Linked DNA regions of Ovis aries. The protein of the gene in region 2 interacts with the protein of the main gene of each other region in a biochemical or structural test. Links are inferred from orthologs where the notes say so. Each region holds a gene or a part of one and is shown on either strand. Other genes may lie near its edges.

Evidence for each region.
Region 1: the proteins of IRF4 (region 2) and STAT6 form a complex in vitro, tested with the Homo sapiens proteins (2 studies listed by BioGRID). The link is inferred for Ovis aries from reciprocal best matches to the Homo sapiens genes IRF4 and STAT6.

Annotation. Positions count from the first base shown.
Region 1 is NC_056056.1:162,503,680-162,507,421, forward strand, and holds the start of STAT6 (signal transducer and activator of transcription 6), read left to right. Parts: upstream 1-1,297; 5' UTR 1,298-1,496; intron 1,497-3,742. UniProt on the Homo sapiens protein: Carries out a dual function: signal transduction and activation of transcription. Involved in IL4/interleukin-4- and IL3/interleukin-3-mediated signaling.
Region 2 is NC_056073.1:51,018,463-51,022,204, forward strand, and holds the start of IRF4 (interferon regulatory factor 4), read left to right. Parts: upstream 1-984; 5' UTR 985-1,044; intron 1,045-2,214; 5' UTR 2,215-2,274; coding exon 2,275-2,490; intron 2,491-3,472; coding exon 3,473-3,659; intron 3,660-3,742. UniProt on the Homo sapiens protein: Transcriptional activator. Binds to the interferon-stimulated response element (ISRE) of the MHC class I promoter. Binds the immunoglobulin lambda light chain enhancer, together with PU.1.

The DNA of each region.
Region 1 (3,742 bases), on a different chromosome or scaffold from region 2:
CTGAACCCATGCAGCCTGTCTCCAGGGGCCAAGTTCTTAACTCCTACCCTCTGCCTAGCTGGGGACTCTGACCTGCACATACTTGCCCTTCCACGTGGATGGGAGGGGGAGGAGCCAGGTTCTGGGAATCAGATGGGACACCAGGGGGCAGCATAAGCCTGGCTTTGGCCCCTGAGCCCAGCCCTGTTTGGGGAGAAAGGAGGGGAGTAGAAACTGCCTCCCACCTTCCACTGCTCCTCAGAGACCACCCTTTTCCCATACACATCTCTCAGGTTTGGGGGCTTGAAGGTCCCTTGGCCTCCTCCAGCTCTTCCTTCAGCCAAAGCTTCAAAAACCATCCAGTAGTGACAATGATGACTCAGAAGCTGAGCAAGCCTTGTGCGTGTGAGTGTGTGTCCTCGTGACTGCATGTGGCTCTGAGTGCTGACATGTCTGTGAGCCTGCCTGCACGTGTGTGTAAGCATGTGTGTATGTGGGAGGGAGTGTCCTTCTGGCTGGGGAAGTTGTCTACATGCACGTTTATTTCTGGGTGTGTCTCAGTGTTTACCCCAGAAACAGATAGGAACTTTGCCAAGGTTGCACAGCAGACTCATATTCAAACTTGTCCCTTGGGAATCTACGGGCAGCAACTCCAGCTTGCCGCTGGCTCCTACCTGGGTCTCCGGAGTAGTACCCCATGAGGAGGTGGCGGAAAGGATTTTCAGTTCCAGGCATCCCTGGAGGCCTACAGGATTGTGAGCTTCACAGCCCCCTCCCCCACTCCCTCCCATCAGCGGGTCACGAGACCTCTAGGGCGTTCCCCACCCAGCAGGGAGGGGAACCGAGGAGTCCCAGCTCCCCGGCCGCTTTCAGGGTCTTCCACTGGAGGGAGTGCAGGGCCAGAGGGATTTCTTTTTCCAGAGCCCCCCGCCGGCCCCCCACCCCGGGGGGGTGGGGAGCCCAGTCCTTCTTGAGCCCAAACCTCCGGCCCTTGCAAGAGTTTGAGTATGGGAGCTGTAGTTTGGGGTGGCTTGTCTCTACTTGATATTAGGTGACTTTCTGGAGGAAAGTTGATTGTTTTTGATGGGGGACAGAGTAAGCGGGGATCAGCCTTTCCTCCAGCCTGGCGCCAGGGGCCCCCAAGCCCCAGTCCTGGCTCCCCCTCCCAGCCCATGCTCCCCTACTCCATACCAGAGGCACACATGCTCACCCCACTTTCTTCCTCTTCCTCCTCCAGCCCACTTTCTCTTCTCTGTGTCGTCAGAGCTCCAGGGAGGGACCTGGGTAGTCGGAGAAGCCGGAAACAGCGGGCTGGGGCAGCCACTGCTTACACTGAAGAGGGAGGACGGGAGAGGATTGTGTGTGTGTGTGTGTGTGTGTGTGTTTTCTTTTTGGTGGTGGTGGAGGAGGAGGGGTGCTAGCAGGGCCAGTCCTGAACCCGCTGGACAGAGCTACAGACCCATGGGGCCTGGCAGAGCCCGCTGAGAGAGGGAGACGACAACAGAGGGGTTGCCAAGGTGAGGGGATGCCTCCAAGGAGGGAGGGTGGGGGGCCTCTGACTACCAATGTGGGGGGAGGATGGGAGTGCTTTTCAGGATCCTGCCTGGGCAGAATGGATGGTCCCCAAGAAATTGTTTCAGCTGGGGCTGGTGGCTGGTGTTACTGAGTTTTGGCAGTTTCGAAATATCAGAGGAATCTGGAGTGGGTGCAGGCCCAGCACTTGCCCTGCTCCTCCCCAGCATGGGTCACTTTTTCCACACACCCCATCCCCCGCAATCCAGGGACGTGTTAAGGCAGGGGAAGGAGGGCAAGGAGGTGCCCCTCTGCCCTCTGGGTTTGGGGGAAGTGGCAGCCCCTCCCTATAGAAAACTGATGGCAGGGGGCAGTGGGTCCTCCACAGACCCCTATCCGGGCCCCCCACAAAGGTTCCTCTTCAAGGGTGTGGCCAGGGGGTGAGCGTGTCCCAGAAGTAGAACCTCATGGTGCCCCAGAGGAGGGGGAATTTCCCCCTCAAAACTGCTCCACGCTGGGCCCGGCGGCGTCACGGAGTTAACCCTCCCGGTGCCTAACTGGCTCCGCCTCCCCGCGCCCCTCCCCGCCCCCACCACAGCACACACACACTAGGCAACTCAGAGAAGCTCTTTTGACTTCTGATCCTGTGGTCCCACGGTCAGAGGGCTCAGGAATGTCGGGGGTTGAGGTGAAGTTTCGGCCACGAAGCGGGGCTGATGAAGATCCTGGACTTCCCTTCCCCATGGGGAAGGGAACGCGGGCCCCGCCCCCCCAGGCCGTGGCTCCTCCCTCCCTGTCGGTATTCAGTGGGGTTTACAGCAGAAGATGCCCCTGGCCTGGCTGGCCGATTGAGCCAGCCTGGTTATTGGGTGGGAGTAGGGGAAAGTCTGGCCCCTCGTTGTCTGACGATGGAGTAGGGGAGATTTGAAGGCAGGGCCATGCCAGGAAGCTGGTCACTCTTCCTAATCTAGGGGATATGGAGGAAAGGGGAGCTGCCTCTGACTTAGGGATCACCTCGGTCCCCCAGTAGGGTAGAGATAGAGGTCAACGGTCTGAGCACCCTGAGAAACAGGAGCGAAAGAGGGAAGAGAGGAATGGAGTCCTCCCTTAAGTTTGAAACACAAACCAAAAGGTGCCCCACCCCAAGGTGGGTGTAGAGAAAGGTCTATGAAAGGACCCTGAGCAGGAGGGGGAGGATTCTGCCTTTGGGAGAAAAGAGGTCAGGGGGATATAGGAACTGTTCTCTGTTCCTTTGGGAGTCCTGGGAGAGGGGAGAAGCTAACGTGCTGCAGCAGAACTTGGGGCTAAGTGGGTTGAGGGAGACCTAGGGAGTTTCCACCCCCATCCTTTCTGTCATCTCTGGGAAGAGAAACATGAACTGAGAGACCCCTGGGGAACCACTGGTTTACCCACTCTGCCCTGCAGTCCACCTAGGATGGGGAGGCAACTACCTCCTACCTTCTCCCATCTCCTTGCCTCTTGCCCCCTTTCCTTCTCTTCCTTGTAGTCCTCTAGCCTCTCCGCCTCTCTTCCAGGCTTTTTGCTGCAGGCTAATTAACCTCACTTTTTCTCCTTCCTGAGTTCTCTCTACTTTTCCTCTTGCTCTATCTCCTCTTCTTCAGTTCTCCTTCCATGTCCCCCTCCTCTTGGGATTATGAGATCTGGATCCAGAAGGGATCCTAAGGGCACAGAGTGGTGGTTTATCCCCACTTGGGTTTGGATCGCTTGCAGAGTGGCCTTGGCAAGTTGGAGAACCTCCTTGAGCTCAGTTTCTCTACCTGTGACGGAATAATTTTATATTTTAAAAATTGTTGCAAGATTTTAGTGAGGTAAAGCACTCAGTGTAATGCCTCGTACATAGTAAGTGCTTAATGAATGATAGCTATTGTTACTTTACCATCTTCTTCTTCATCTAGCCAGGCAGTTTTCAGATTGTTTCATGGAACCCTAGAATTTTGAGGGATTTCTCCAGGGACACCTTTGGGGTCCAGAGGTGGAGAGAGGGAAGCAAGAAGTTGTAGATTTCCAGGTCTACCACACTTGATTTCAACAGAGAAATTCAAATTTTACAGAACTGGCTAAAATGGTCTACTTCTTTAAAAAGTTTGGAAAGTTCATACCTTACCCAAGCCTCATATTTTGTAGATGAGAAGATTGAGGTCCACGGAGGGGAGGTTTCTTTTTGTTTGTTTGTCTTTAAAATCTTGTGAGCATGCCACAGGTCATGTGGGATCTTAGTTCCCCGATCAGG
Region 2 (3,742 bases):
TGTTTAAATATTGTTCTTATTCTGGCCATTTAAGCTCCCACTTGTAAATTGTTTCTCCCACGTTGAGGTTAAAACTATGCCACTGAGAGGTGGACCTGGACACTTCTTCCAGTTCTTCCCTGCTGCCACAGCTAAAGCTGTGGGGGTGCTGTCTCAGTTACTGAAGTCCTCCAGTTGAGCCGACCAGCAGGATGAGAGCATTTCAAGCCCAGACAGCGTGTGAGCGCAGTTTATAGCTCAAGGTATCTGGGCCATTTCCTTTTTTCTTTTCAATGAGTGTGATGTTCTCTAAACACGGCGGAGGGGCGGGGCTCTCGGTGACAGCCAAGGGTGCCCCCCACCCACCCACGGTCGGTCGACACGGACAGTCCTGTCTTTGGTTACGAGCTCTGCAAGCCCAGTCCCCATCGCACCAGATTCCCGCTCCTGCACGCCCCCACTTCCCGCCCTGACAGCGCCGCTGTAGCTGAGCTCCTGCTCAGCGGTCCCGCCGCGGAGACGAGGTCCCCTCGCGCCTTGCCCTCGGCAGGAAACCGCCCGAGTGAGGCTCCCCCGGCCCGTGCGCCCGACTCGAGGTGCGTCCCCAGCGCCGCCTGGCCCCGCGCCCTCGGCTCTCGGTCCGCAGCCCACTACCCCACCCCGCGCACCCGGCTCCCTGCCCAGAGCCCCCAGACCAGCCCCGCGCGCCCAGCTGGGAGCCGGCGCCCCGCCAGCCCGGGTTCCGACCCGGCCCCGCGCCCCGCGCTCTGCGTCCGCAGCCCCTAGCCCAGCTCCGGCCCCGCGCCCCCGGCCCTCCGTCCGCAGACCCCGCCGCACCCCGCGCGCCCGGCCCCCTGCCCGGAACCCCCGGGCCAGCCCCGCGCGCCCGGCCCGCGCCCGCGGCCCCCGCCCCGCCGGGAGGCGCCCCGGTCGGCCCCGCCCCGCGTAGGCCCCGCCCCGAGCGCGGCTTTCAAGCTTTATAAAGTTCCTCTTTCCTACCTCCGAGGTTAGTTTCGCTGCTTGGACTTGGGACTCACCGCTGCCCTCAGCTCAAGCCGGGGCGAGGTAAGACTGGGGTCGGGAAGGACGCGGGCTGCCAGCCCGCTACCGCAGGAGCCCGGCGCGAGGCCAGCCGGGTGGGGGCCGCCTCGGGGCAGCGCGGGCCGCCGCGGCGTCGGCGCCAGGCGAGAGCACGCCCCTCGAGGGACCCCGACGCCCACCCCGTCTGCCCTTGGCCGGGGAGTCCCGCGGCCCCGGCGTCCGCGGGTCGGCCGAGCCCGGGCCCCGGAGGCCACGCGCGGGGCCGGCTGTGGTAACGAGGTCGCTGGGCCATCAGCGCCCGAGGGGGTCGTCGAAGGGACCCACCCCGGGCGGCAGCCCTGACCGCGGGGACGGCCCCTTCCTCCCGAGGCTGCTTCTCTTGCTCCTCGCTCTTGAGGGGCTCACAGCCCCCTCGGCCCCGAGCCCGCGTCTTCCCGACCGGTGGTGGAAGAGGAGGCGCTCCAAGTTCAGGCCACGAGGGGCCCCGCGCTCCGCGACCCCCGCCTTCCCGGCACCTTCCCGCCCCCGCGCTCCCCGCGGGCCTCCCCGCCCGGCTGATGCTCGGCGCGCGGGGATCCCCCACGACGAGGCTGCGCTCGCCGCCTGAGGCCGGGTCCCTCTGCCGCGTGTGGCTCCCGGGCCACCTGGTCGTCGCTACCTGTCTGGGGCTCCGGGGCATTCTTGGGGCAAAGAGTGCGGGTTTCAGAGAGAGCCGCGGGGGAGCTGCCGCCGCCGCGCACCTGGAAGGCCAGGCCACGGGGGAGCCCGCGTGCGGAACACGCGGGGCCACCGGGGCGCGGGGGCGCGGGCGGGGGCGCGGGCGGAAACTGGCCGTGGCACGGGGGATGGACTGTCCACGGCTTGGGCCTGGGCAGGGGAGCGGGAGTACGAGAGCAAACGGAGGCCCACGCGTGGGGGCGGCTGGATTTCGGGGGTGCGCGAAGATCAGAGCCCTGAGTCTGGGCGGCGTGCGGGCCGCGGGGGGAAACGCGAGTGGAGCGTCCAGAAGGTGAGGTCGCGCACGAGCTCAGGGAGGCGGGAGGGCGGCGCGCCAGGGGCACGCACGAGCCGGGGCGGCTGAGAAGGGCCTTCTCTCGCGGCTCGGGCGTCACAGACTCGGCGGCGCGCGCCTCGCCGCCTCCGAGGCTCTGCGGCCTCGTGGTCATTGCCGAGGGCCGCCTCCTCTCCCCGCAGCGCGGAGCGAGTGCCGGAGCGAAGCCTGGGTTGCGAAGGGACAGCGTCGGCGCGCGGGGCATGAACCTGGAGGGCGGCAGCCGAGGCGGCGAGTTCGGCATGAGCTCCGTGAGCTGCGGCAACGGGAAGCTCCGCCAGTGGCTCATCGACCAGATCGACAGCGGCAAGTACCCGGGGCTGGTGTGGGAGAACGAGGAGAAGAGCATCTTCCGCATCCCCTGGAAGCACGCGGGCAAGCAGGACTACAACCGCGAGGAGGACGCCGCGCTCTTCAAGGTGCCCGGGCGGGGCTGGGAGGGGCCAGGGCCCGCGCGCCGACCCGCCCCGGGCTCCGGGGGCCGGTCCGCGCCGCGCGCACCGGGCCTGGTGCGGGAGCGCGGGGGTCCCGCGGCTGCTCTGGTAACTTCGCAGAGGGCGGAGCCGGTGCCACGCCTGAGGGGCGCACGGTCCCCCGGAGTCAGATGCCCGTCCGCGCTCCCGCCGGGTAGAGGGGTGGGCCAAGGCTGCGCCTCTCTCTCCCTGGGGCCCTCTTTCTGGAACTTTGGGTACCTCCTCGCCTCCACGTACCGACTGTGTCTCCTCCTTGCGCGCGGGCAGCTGTGTGCGCCGCGCCGCTCGGGGCTGGTCCCTGCGCCCTCTCCACGCTGTCCCGCCTCACGCCCCCTCTCTGGCCAGCGCTCTCCTTCGGGCTCTCTCTGGTCCTTGGGCGCGTCTCTCCCTCTGTCTCACTGTCTCTGTGTGACTCCCTCTTCCCGAGTCTCTCCCTGGAAAGTTTTCTCCGTCTCTCTCCCTTCCTCTTTCTCCTCTCTCTCCCTCTCAGGGTCTCCTTTGGGCCTCTCTCTGGGGGTTTCTCTTTGCCCCGTGTGTGTGTCCCTGTCCTGACCGTTTTCCCCTTGGGCAGTTTACCCAGTGGCCAGTGCTTTAGGGCCCAGCCCCACCACCTGTGGGCAGAGCGTGGCAGGGGGACTTCCTCAGGAAACTTGCTGGAAGAGTAAGGCTTGCCTCAGGCTCCCTAACGTCCAGAGGTGCCCTGCGGTGGCCCCTCAGCCCTCAGCTCTGTCTTTGCTTCCAGCCTAACTGCTTCCTGAGGGGTGGGCTTTGTGGGGTCCTCAATCTCACCCGTCTTTCATAAACACCCTCTGTCCCACCTTCCTGTGGACCTGAAGCCCCTGCCGCCATTCTTTGCTTTAGAGATACAATTTCCAGATTCTTTTTTGAAAGACCTGCATTTTAACTTTTCCCCACTTTTTCTCACCAGGCTTGGGCACTGTTTAAAGGGAAGTTTCGAGAAGGCATCGACAAGCCAGACCCTCCCACCTGGAAGACACGCCTGCGGTGTGCTCTGAACAAGAGCAACGACTTCGAGGAGCTGGTGGAGCGGAGCCAGCTGGACATCTCGGACCCCTACAAAGTGTACCGGATCGTCCCCGAGGGAGCCAAGAAAGGTGGGGCTTGCCGGGCTGGGGCCACCTGCGCTCGCGCCTCAAGACGGCTCCCTGTCAGGGTCCTGTTTTCCCTTTGCTGCTTT